2 linked regions of the Sus scrofa genome follow. The protein of the gene in region 2 purifies or fractionates together with the protein of the main gene of each other region. This does not show direct contact. Links are inferred from orthologs where the notes say so. Each region holds a gene or a part of one and is shown on either strand. Other genes may lie near its edges.

Region 1 (4,676 bases), on a different chromosome or scaffold from region 2:
CATAATAAGTCTTTGAAATCTGTGGGGGTTTTTTGTTTGTTTTGTTTTTAGGGCCACATTCATGGCATATGGAGGTTCCCAGCCTAGGGGTCTAATTGGAATACAGCTGCCAGTCTGTGCCACGGACACAGCAATGCGGGATCCGAGCCGCATCTGCAACCTATACCACAGCTAACGGTAATGCCGGATCCTTAATCCACTGAGCAAGGCCAGGGATTGAACCCGCAACCTCATGGTTCCTAGTTGGATTTGTTTCCATTGCACCACAAAGGGAACACCTGAAATCCGTGTGTGTGTTTCATTTACTCTTAAATCTCATCAGAGTTCAGACTAGCCACATTTCAAATGTTGAACAGCCACTTGTGGTCCAAGGCTACTGTACTAGACAGCAGCAAGTACAGATCAAAGGTTCTGACCTCCCTCTTCTTGGCCACATTGTAGCCTTTCTAAGGATGCTGAGGAGTCCAGGAGCCACATTCTCTGAAAGCAGGCTGTTACTATGCACCAAATTTCAGAGCTGCAGAAGATAATAATCTTATCTAATTGGAAGAAGGTTTCATTATAAATTAAAATTAAGGGTCTCAAAATGCTCCAGAGGTCCAAAATGTATGAGACTCTTTAAAAAAGCATTTGTCAGAGAAACTAACATTTCCCTCTTGGAACTGTTACCTCTTCTGGGATGGGACAGGAATGTTTGTTCCCTTCTGCACGTCCCTGTTATTGTTCTTCTGTCTTGATAAACACCATCCAGGAAGAGTGGATTTTCTCTGGCCTGGAGCCAGGTTGGTGGAAAAATCCTTTGCCCTGGGCCCCTTTTCCTGCTCCATAGGGCAGTCGTCTGACTGTTTCTGACAGGGCTCACCAACCCACATGGTGGCTCCTGAAGAGACGTACATGCAGGACTGTTGAACTCTGGAAGGAAAGGGGGGTTGGTGAGCCATCATTTCCTGATTCCAGCAGTGGGCAGCCCTTGGTTCCAGACACTGTGCTAGGCACATGCTATGTTCTATCCTTTTATTCCTCACCACCACCCTCTGAGGTCAGCGTCAGCACCTGCAAAACCCAGACAGGCAGAGGTTCACTCAGGGTCTGCAGCCTTCTGACACCAGAGCCCAGAATCCCAGCATTCCAGACTCTGGGGGTTTTAGTGCTTTCTACACTAAAACAGACTTGGGAGCAAGGTCTGTCCAGAAAGTGTTCATCTCTGCATCCTGTTCCCATGCGAACAAGGTGCTGAAAGTTGAGTTCAATCTCCAAGAATTGAGGGTCAGATATTCAGGACTTTAGAAAAAGAAGCGGGACTTCCCGCTGTGGTGCAATAGGATTGGCAGCGTCTCTGCAGCTCCAGGACGCAGGTTTGATCCCCAGCTCAGCACAGTGGGTTAAGGATCCAGCGTTGCCGCAGGCTGCTTTGGTCGGCTGGGAATTCCATGTGCCGTGAGGCGGCCAAAAAAAGCGGGAGGGGGAGGAGATGGCTGCCCTTTCTACGTCAGTAAACCTAGGAGGGCTGCCTGATCTTTTTTTCCCTGGTTCCTGATACGTGAGAAGAATTGTGGTGCCAGGGAGCCCTGTGGCTTTAAGCCTAAGCCCTGGCAGGGGAGGAGACTGGGAGGGCTGTGGAGGGTGCCCGCCTACCTGGGGAACCTGCGCGAGGTGTGGCCGGAGCGGCTCGGGATGCGAGGTGGGCGGGGGCGGGCTGAAAGTTGGACAAGCAGGAAGTGAACCGACGGCCGCCCGGGAGGAAACCGATTTAGGCGAGTTCTGCTGCCGCCAGGCCCCAGCCGCTCGGAGACATGGTGAGAGAGCTGGAGACTAAGAAGGGGCTGATTTCAAGCCCAGCCAGAGGGTTCGAGGGGGAGGGCTGGGGATCAGCAAAGGAAAGTTAGTGGCAAAGTCCAGAGGGCCGAGCCAGCGCTGTGGCCTGTCTTCTTTGACAGTTCGTCTGCAAATAGTTCGGAGCTGCCTTGGGCGGGTGTTCCTGCTCCTTCTTCGCTCCCTCCCTCCCCTGACCCCGGAGCCGGCCGGGAGGGGGGCTCCGGTGGGGGTGGGGGAGTCCTAATTCTTCTCCTTCTCCAGCCGGCGGGCCCGCGGGTGTTGTGACATTCCTGGGCAGCGCCTCTGCTGTTCCCGTCGCAGGTTCCAGCCCAGCGGCGGAATCCCCCTTGCCTTTCTCTCTATTCTTGTACAGAAACGCAAAGAATGTGTCTCTCCCCTGAATCCAAGGAATCTAGCTCATCTCCATTAACGTGAGGAAGAGAGCTAAGGGTTTGAAAGTCAGAAGTGGGTTTTCTGTGAGTGTCTCGTTTGGACCCACACCAGAAGTCTAGTGGGTCAGGGAGGGAGTTTCTCCCTCCCTGTTCAAAAACCTTATCATAAAGCCTGGGGATGAGGCATCAGGCCAGGAAGAACTTGCCCTCCATTTCCCCCAACGCCCAGGCTGCTGTTTTTATTTTATACTTGCTTAAGCAGGCAGTGGCGTGGTGCCGGCTCATGACGCTAAATGGTGGGGAAAGCAGAAGTTTGTGGCCCAACGGCTCTCTGGTGGGGCCTTGTGAGGGACTTGTAGCCTGGTGGCTGTTGTTCTGGGTCACAGCCATCAGGCTGCCCAGGAGGTCCGGAGAGAGAGGGAGAGTTGAGCTGGGTGAGGGTGGTCTGCGGGCTGGCACAGGCATTTTTACTGAGGACCCTATGGGATTTGAGAGTTGGTGAGGAGCAGTGGGGCTGTGCACTGTGAAATGCCAGCTCAGCTGTCTCCTGGAACCCTCTTTGAGGAAAAGAAGCAGTGGAGAGGGGTTTGGTAGTGGTATTTGTCATGCACCCTGAGAACCCACAAAGAGGTTTGATTCAATGTCTCCTAGCATGGCTCTTTACCATCTGGGGCTTAAACATGTAGGTTTTTTTCACTGTGCCCTATGGCATGTGGAAGTTCCCAGGCCAAGGATCAAACCCAAGCCTCAGCTGTAACCAGAGCCACAGCAGTGGTAACACCAGATCCTTAACTTCCTGAGCCACTGGGGAACTCCAGATGCTTTATTTTATTTTATTTTTTTGTCTTTTTGCCTGTTCTAGGGCCACTCCCGCGGCATATGGAGGTTCCCAGGCTAGGGGTCTCGTTGGAGCCGTAGCCGCCGTCCTACACCACAGCCACAGCAATGCAGGATCTGAGCCATGTCTGCAACCTACACCACAGCTCACAGCAACGCCAGATCCTTAACCCACTGAGCAAGGCCAGGGACTGAACCTGCAACCCCATGGCTCCTAGTTGGATTCGTTAACCACCGTGCCACAACGGGAACTCCAAAATCCTGTTTTTTTTTAAATCTTTTTATTTTAGGGCTGCACCCTTGGCATATGGAAGTTTGCAGGCTAGGGGTCATATCAGACCTATAGCCGCTGGCCTACACCACAGCCACAGCAACAGCAACGTGGGATCCAAGCCAAGTCTGTGACCTACACCACCACAGCAATGCTGGATCCTTAACCCACTGAGCAAGGCCAGGGATCGAACCTGCCACCTCATGGATGCTAGTCAGATTTGTTTCTGCTGAGCCACAATGACGGGAACTCCTGCATTTGTTTTTTTATTACATGCATACTTAGCAGAAAACCTTCTCTTTGTAAATAGTTCAAGCATTACAAAAGCTTAAGTCCATCTTAGGCCTCCCCCTCCTCTGGCCTCTGAGGCTGAGTCTCAGTCCCTCCACCACTTGGCTTAATTAACCGTTTTGTTGCTGCCCAGGAGGAGGCCAGTGGCGGTGGAGGGGATGACCGCGTGCGGAACCTGCGGAGTGAAGTGGAGGGAGTCAAGAATATTATGACCCAGAATGTGGAGCGGATCCTGGCCCGGGGAGAAAACTTGGACCATCTCCGCAACAAGACAGAGGATCTGGAAGCCACAGTGAGACAATGGGGAGCCTACTGGGGGCCAGAGGAAGAGGGGGAAGGAAGATTCTTGGGGGTTTGGGGATTGGCTGTCTTGGTGGCAGATGTTCAGGAGGGCAGTCTGCCTTTTCACCTGCATTGGGAATTGATGGGAGCAGATTCCCCACTTCTGATTCTGCTCTACTCCACTGATTGGTGCTGGGGTCCAGGGAATGGGTTCAAGGACTGGGGCTGGGGTGCATGGAGAGGGTGGAGGTGGGTGCGGACCCATGGAGGCATTTCCTGAGACAAATGGATGGCTCAGTCAGCCTGTGTCTTCTGAGGCTTCTCTCCTAGGAGACTTTCCCTTTGAAGGCTGCCCTTGACAATCATTTGGATCTGGCCTTCCCCAGGGCAAAAATATTGGCTCCAGAAAATCCTCTTAGGGCTCTAGGCCTTCCCCAGGAGTTGTTAGGCAGGTGGTGGAAAACTGTTAAGAATCTTGCTGAGCCAGCTTTAAAAAGAAGGTGGGAAAAGCAGTAAAAGTCTTTGATCCAGGGTTCTCTGCTAGCTAAAGGCTAGAATAATATCTCCCACATCTTTTTTTTTTTTTTTTTTTTAGGCCATCTGGTACCTGTAGCATATGGAAGTTCCCAGGCTAGGGGTCCAATCAGAGCTGTTGCCTCTGGCCACAGCCACAGCCACAGCAGCTTGGGATCCAGGCTGGATCTGTAACCTACACTGCCCCTCACAACAATGGCAGATCCTTAACCCACTGGACAAGGCCAGGGATCGAACCCGTGTCCTCATCGATG
Region 2 (4,233 bases):
ATAACTAAATGGTAAAAAAAAAAAAAACAAAACTTTTTACAAGATATACATATATCAAATCACCACTATTGCATACTTTAAATTTCTTACAATGTTGTCAATTATACCTCAGTAAAGCTGAAAAAAAATGTGACTTGATGATTCAAGATGAATGCATAGTTTAAAAGGAAAAATCATAGCATTAACCAGGAGGATCATTCAAATGAGTATTGTTTCCAAAATAAAGAGAGTCGTAGAGATAAGCGAAATAGAAAATACCCCATTGCACCTTTCTACTTCTGGAACAAACATTCATGGTTTTGCTTCATCAAAAAGCATTAAACTGATGTAGTTTTATATTATATTGTATTATATTATATTATAGTATAGCATATTAATTTATTTATTTTGTCTTTTTAGGGCTGCACCTGCAGCATATGGTGGATCCCAGCCTAGGGGTGGAATTGGAGCTGCAGCTGCTGGCCTACGTCACAACACAGCAATGCCAGATCCAAGCCACATCTGTAATCTATATCACAGCTCACAGCAACACCAGATCCTTAACCCACTAAGCAAAGCCAGGAATTGAACCTTCATCCTCATGGATACTAGTCAGGTTCGTTTCCACTGAGCCGTGACAGGAACTTCAGATGTTGTTTATTTTAATATCATTAATTTTATATTTGTAATGTGTAGATTGGCTTGGATCTGGTTTGGTTTCTAGATTATAGTTTTTTTGGTTTTTGGTTTTTTTTTTTTTTTTGTCTTTTGTCTTGTTGTTGTTGTTGTTGCTATTTCTTGGGCCGCTCCCGCGGCATATGGAGGTTCCCAGGCTAGGGGTTGAATCGGAGCTGTAGCCACCGGCCTACGCCAGAGCCACAGCAACGCGGGATCCGAGCCACGTCTGCAACCTACACCACAGCTAACGGCAACGCCGGATCGTTAACCCACTGAGCAAGGGCAGGGACCGAACCTGCAACCTCATGGTTCCTAGTCGGATTCGTTAACCACTGCGCCACGACGGGAACTCCTAGATTATAGTTTTTTAAAGAGTCTGTAGTCATAAGGCATTTATGCCATGTTTATGTAAGGTACCTTGTACTTACATTCAGGTAAATTGTCAATACTTGGTACCACATAATCTGTTTCTCTTGAAGAGGGGTGTGCTCATTACTTAAGTTGGAGAGATAATGTACTAGGACCATGAAAGAAACAAGGTATGAATAGATTATGTCCAGCACCCATATTTGCACTGTAATCAATTATAAGTTTCAATCTGCATGAGGGCATTTGTTTTATAAATGTTTCTTTGTGACTAGGGATGTTGAGTTGTGGCAAAAGTTCCTGTTTCATAATTCACCTTTGCCATCATCAACTTGTAGAAAAGAGGGTTTCCAGAAATCAAATAGAGCAGGCTGCTTTCAACACCCAGTGAGGCAAGGCCGTGCCACCTCTTACCAAGGATCACACAAGGGCACGTCCATAAGGCAAGGAGCTGGAGACCAAGAAGAACATCTGTCGACTTCTCAGAGTTCTTCTTAACAAGATCATCATCCCAAGAGCAGATACACTCAGGGAAAGACTGTCCATTGAATCTGTGAGTTCACTGCTCACACTTCTGTTTCTACTGTATCTATTTTGACTGTATCGCTTTTTACTAAATTCATCTTTAAAACATTCATTTGAAACATGTTTATTTTTTGGGGTGCCAATATGGTACTTTTAAATTTCCTTTGGGTCCTGGAAGAAGGCTGGTTGTAACCCATGAACTCATAGGAATTATAAGCCATCTCTGAAGAAGGAATCAGAGTGTGTTAAAGGGAAAAATAAGTGGAATAAAGACATGGAGCTGCAGCAAGAGGATGGAATGGATGAAGAAGAAAAAGAGAAGAAAACCATGTCTCCATCCCAAAGTAAGGCTTTTTTTGCTGTAGAAATATAAAGTTTATAAATGGATAGCACAGATTCTTCTAAATGAACAAAACATGGATGTAAAAAAAACTGGTTAGTCTACTGGTGAAAGCTACACTTTTGAGAACTAATTTAAGTATTCAAATGCAAAAGCAGTAGGCTTATGACTAAATAGTATCTGTAAAAGGCATGGCTTATTTGTTACATTCTGTTTGTGCTTTTTCTGTTTCACTTTTATCAGTTCCGCAGGACAGGGCTATGGTGCAAAAAAGGGTTTACCAAAAGTGAGTATTAAGCAACAGTCTCATCCTAAAATACTTTCGCAAGTTGTTATGCAAAATCTCGGTTGCATTAAGAGCTATGAAACAGATCCATTATACTATTTCTAGACCAGATTTTTTTTTTTTTTTAGCCCATTCTCTTTCACAGCATATGTTCTATTGGTATGCATAGAGTAGCCAATACATGTTAAACTTCAGGCCCCTTGCAACAAATACGCCACTATGTCAGAGGAAAGTTTTCATTTCATGGCAATTTGGGTTAAAATAAAAATATAATAGTATAATTTCAGGAACTGTAGGCAAGGATAAAATTTAACTAATACCAAAATAGTTCCATTTCCATCCTCATTTTTTACCCCTTCTTGTGTACCATGCACAGAAAAATAAGCTTCCTGAACAAGAGGTTTGCTTTTCTCTGAGAGTTCTCTGTTGCATTCTTTTTTGTTGTTAGCAATTTTTCTAAGCTTACTGCGATGTTGACATTGCTTTCTGAATGCAGGTAACCAAATGAAATAAGTCATTGGCTTTGGAACATTCTTAGCTTTTGGTTCTTCTCTAGTCTTTAATGTTGCTCTTAGATGCTGTATTGGTCGTTAAAAACATAGCTTTTCATGTTGGACACTAGGATTTGAATCTAGGGTCCTTTGCTTCTTGGTGCTGGGACAGTGGACAGAAGATTTTAAGGCTCATTTCCTCCTTTGTCAAATGCGGGTGAGTTGTGCATACCTTGTACATTCGTGATGCAAATCAAACAAGATAATATATGAAAATGTTAACACCGTGCTTGGCACATTGTAACCAAATGATAAGTGTTGGTTATCTTTGATAAGAGTATTAGCATTATGGGGTTTATTTATTTATTTTTTAATGATCTGCTGTCTGCTAATAATTGTACGTTTAAATTGTGAGCTTCAAAGGTATTTTAATCTGGTTGGGCTACACGCCAGGCAAAGATACTCAGACTGGGTGGCTTATAAACAACAGAAATTTATTTCTCACAGTTTCAGAGGCTGGGAAATCTAAGATCAAGGTGCCGACGAATTTGGTGTCTGGTGAGAGCCCGCTTCCTGGTTCACAGATGGCTATCTTCTTCCTATGTCCCCACACAGCAGAAGGGGCCAAAGAGCTTTCTGGGGCCTCTTCTACGAGGGCACTAATCCAGCTCTTGAGGGCTCCAACCTTCATGACTGAATCACCTCCCAAGGCTCCATCTTTCAATACCATTGCACTGGGGACCAGGTTTTAACGCAAGGATTTTAGGGGGACAGAAACACTCAGTATTTTAGGAAAGGGTTAGAAACTGTGTTCTCTGGTAAGCTGTGTATATTGAAAAATGATAGCTTGTTTCAAGTACTGAGGTAACGAGTTACACACAAGCCTTTGGAAACCTTAAAAATTTACCTATTTACTTTATAAAACCTTATTTCTATATTTACATAAATTACATTTTACGGACTGAAGCTATACGCAAAATGATTTTCCTGTGAACCTGAGAAGATCTTTTTAGTCTGAGCGTACCAGAGAAAATTTCATATTGTATGGCATACCACCTTGTTTCTTCAAAAAAGCTAACCAATGGATTTAAATAAGATGAAAATATCATCAGGGAAGATTTCCGTAGACTCGAAGTATAAACGTTCAAGAGCTGGCTCCCCTTTAAGGATGCTGCCTGTGTTAGAGTCTCCTTGTGAAACAGAAGGCACATTCAAATTAGAATAATTCAAGGAAGGTTTATGAATAAGGGCACTATTTTAAAGGTGTTAGGCAGGTAGGAACCATAGTACCCCAGGCTTGAGACTCATGAGTAGAGAGAGGGGTCTGGAACCAAGACAGAGAGAATCATGTAGAACAGGACACTTTAGAGGAACAGGGACCTGATCCTGAGAGACACAGACAGCCTTTCTGTTGGGAATAAATTTCCTGACCTCACATCCCCTGCTTCTGCTCTCCTGTACGAGCTCCCTACTGTCCAAGCCCAAGGGGAGCCAAAGGACCTAGGAGCCTGTTATAAACCATTCAGCTCAACCTCCCAGGGTTGAGATCAGGACAGAAGGTGGTAGAA

The links. The genes of interacting proteins can lie anywhere in the genome.
Region 1: the proteins of STX11 (region 2) and VAMP8 purify together in Homo sapiens (co-immunoprecipitation; 3 studies listed by BioGRID and IntAct, counting the BioPlex papers as one, with this or other methods). This does not show direct contact. The link is inferred for Sus scrofa from reciprocal best matches to the Homo sapiens genes STX11 and VAMP8.

What each region holds. Positions count from the first base shown.
Region 1 is NC_010445.4:59,189,869-59,194,544, reverse strand, and holds the start of VAMP8 (vesicle-associated membrane protein 8), read left to right. Parts: upstream 1-1,379; 5' UTR 1,380-1,793; coding exon 1,794-1,796; intron 1,797-3,739; coding exon 3,740-3,898; intron 3,899-4,676. UniProt on the Homo sapiens protein: SNAREs, soluble N-ethylmaleimide-sensitive factor-attachment protein receptors, are essential proteins for fusion of cellular membranes.
Region 2 is NC_010443.5:21,167,522-21,171,754, reverse strand, and holds the start of STX11 (syntaxin-11), read left to right. Parts: upstream 1-1,433; 5' UTR 1,434-1,822; coding exon 1,823-1,892; intron 1,893-4,233. UniProt on the Homo sapiens protein: SNARE that acts to regulate protein transport between late endosomes and the trans-Golgi network.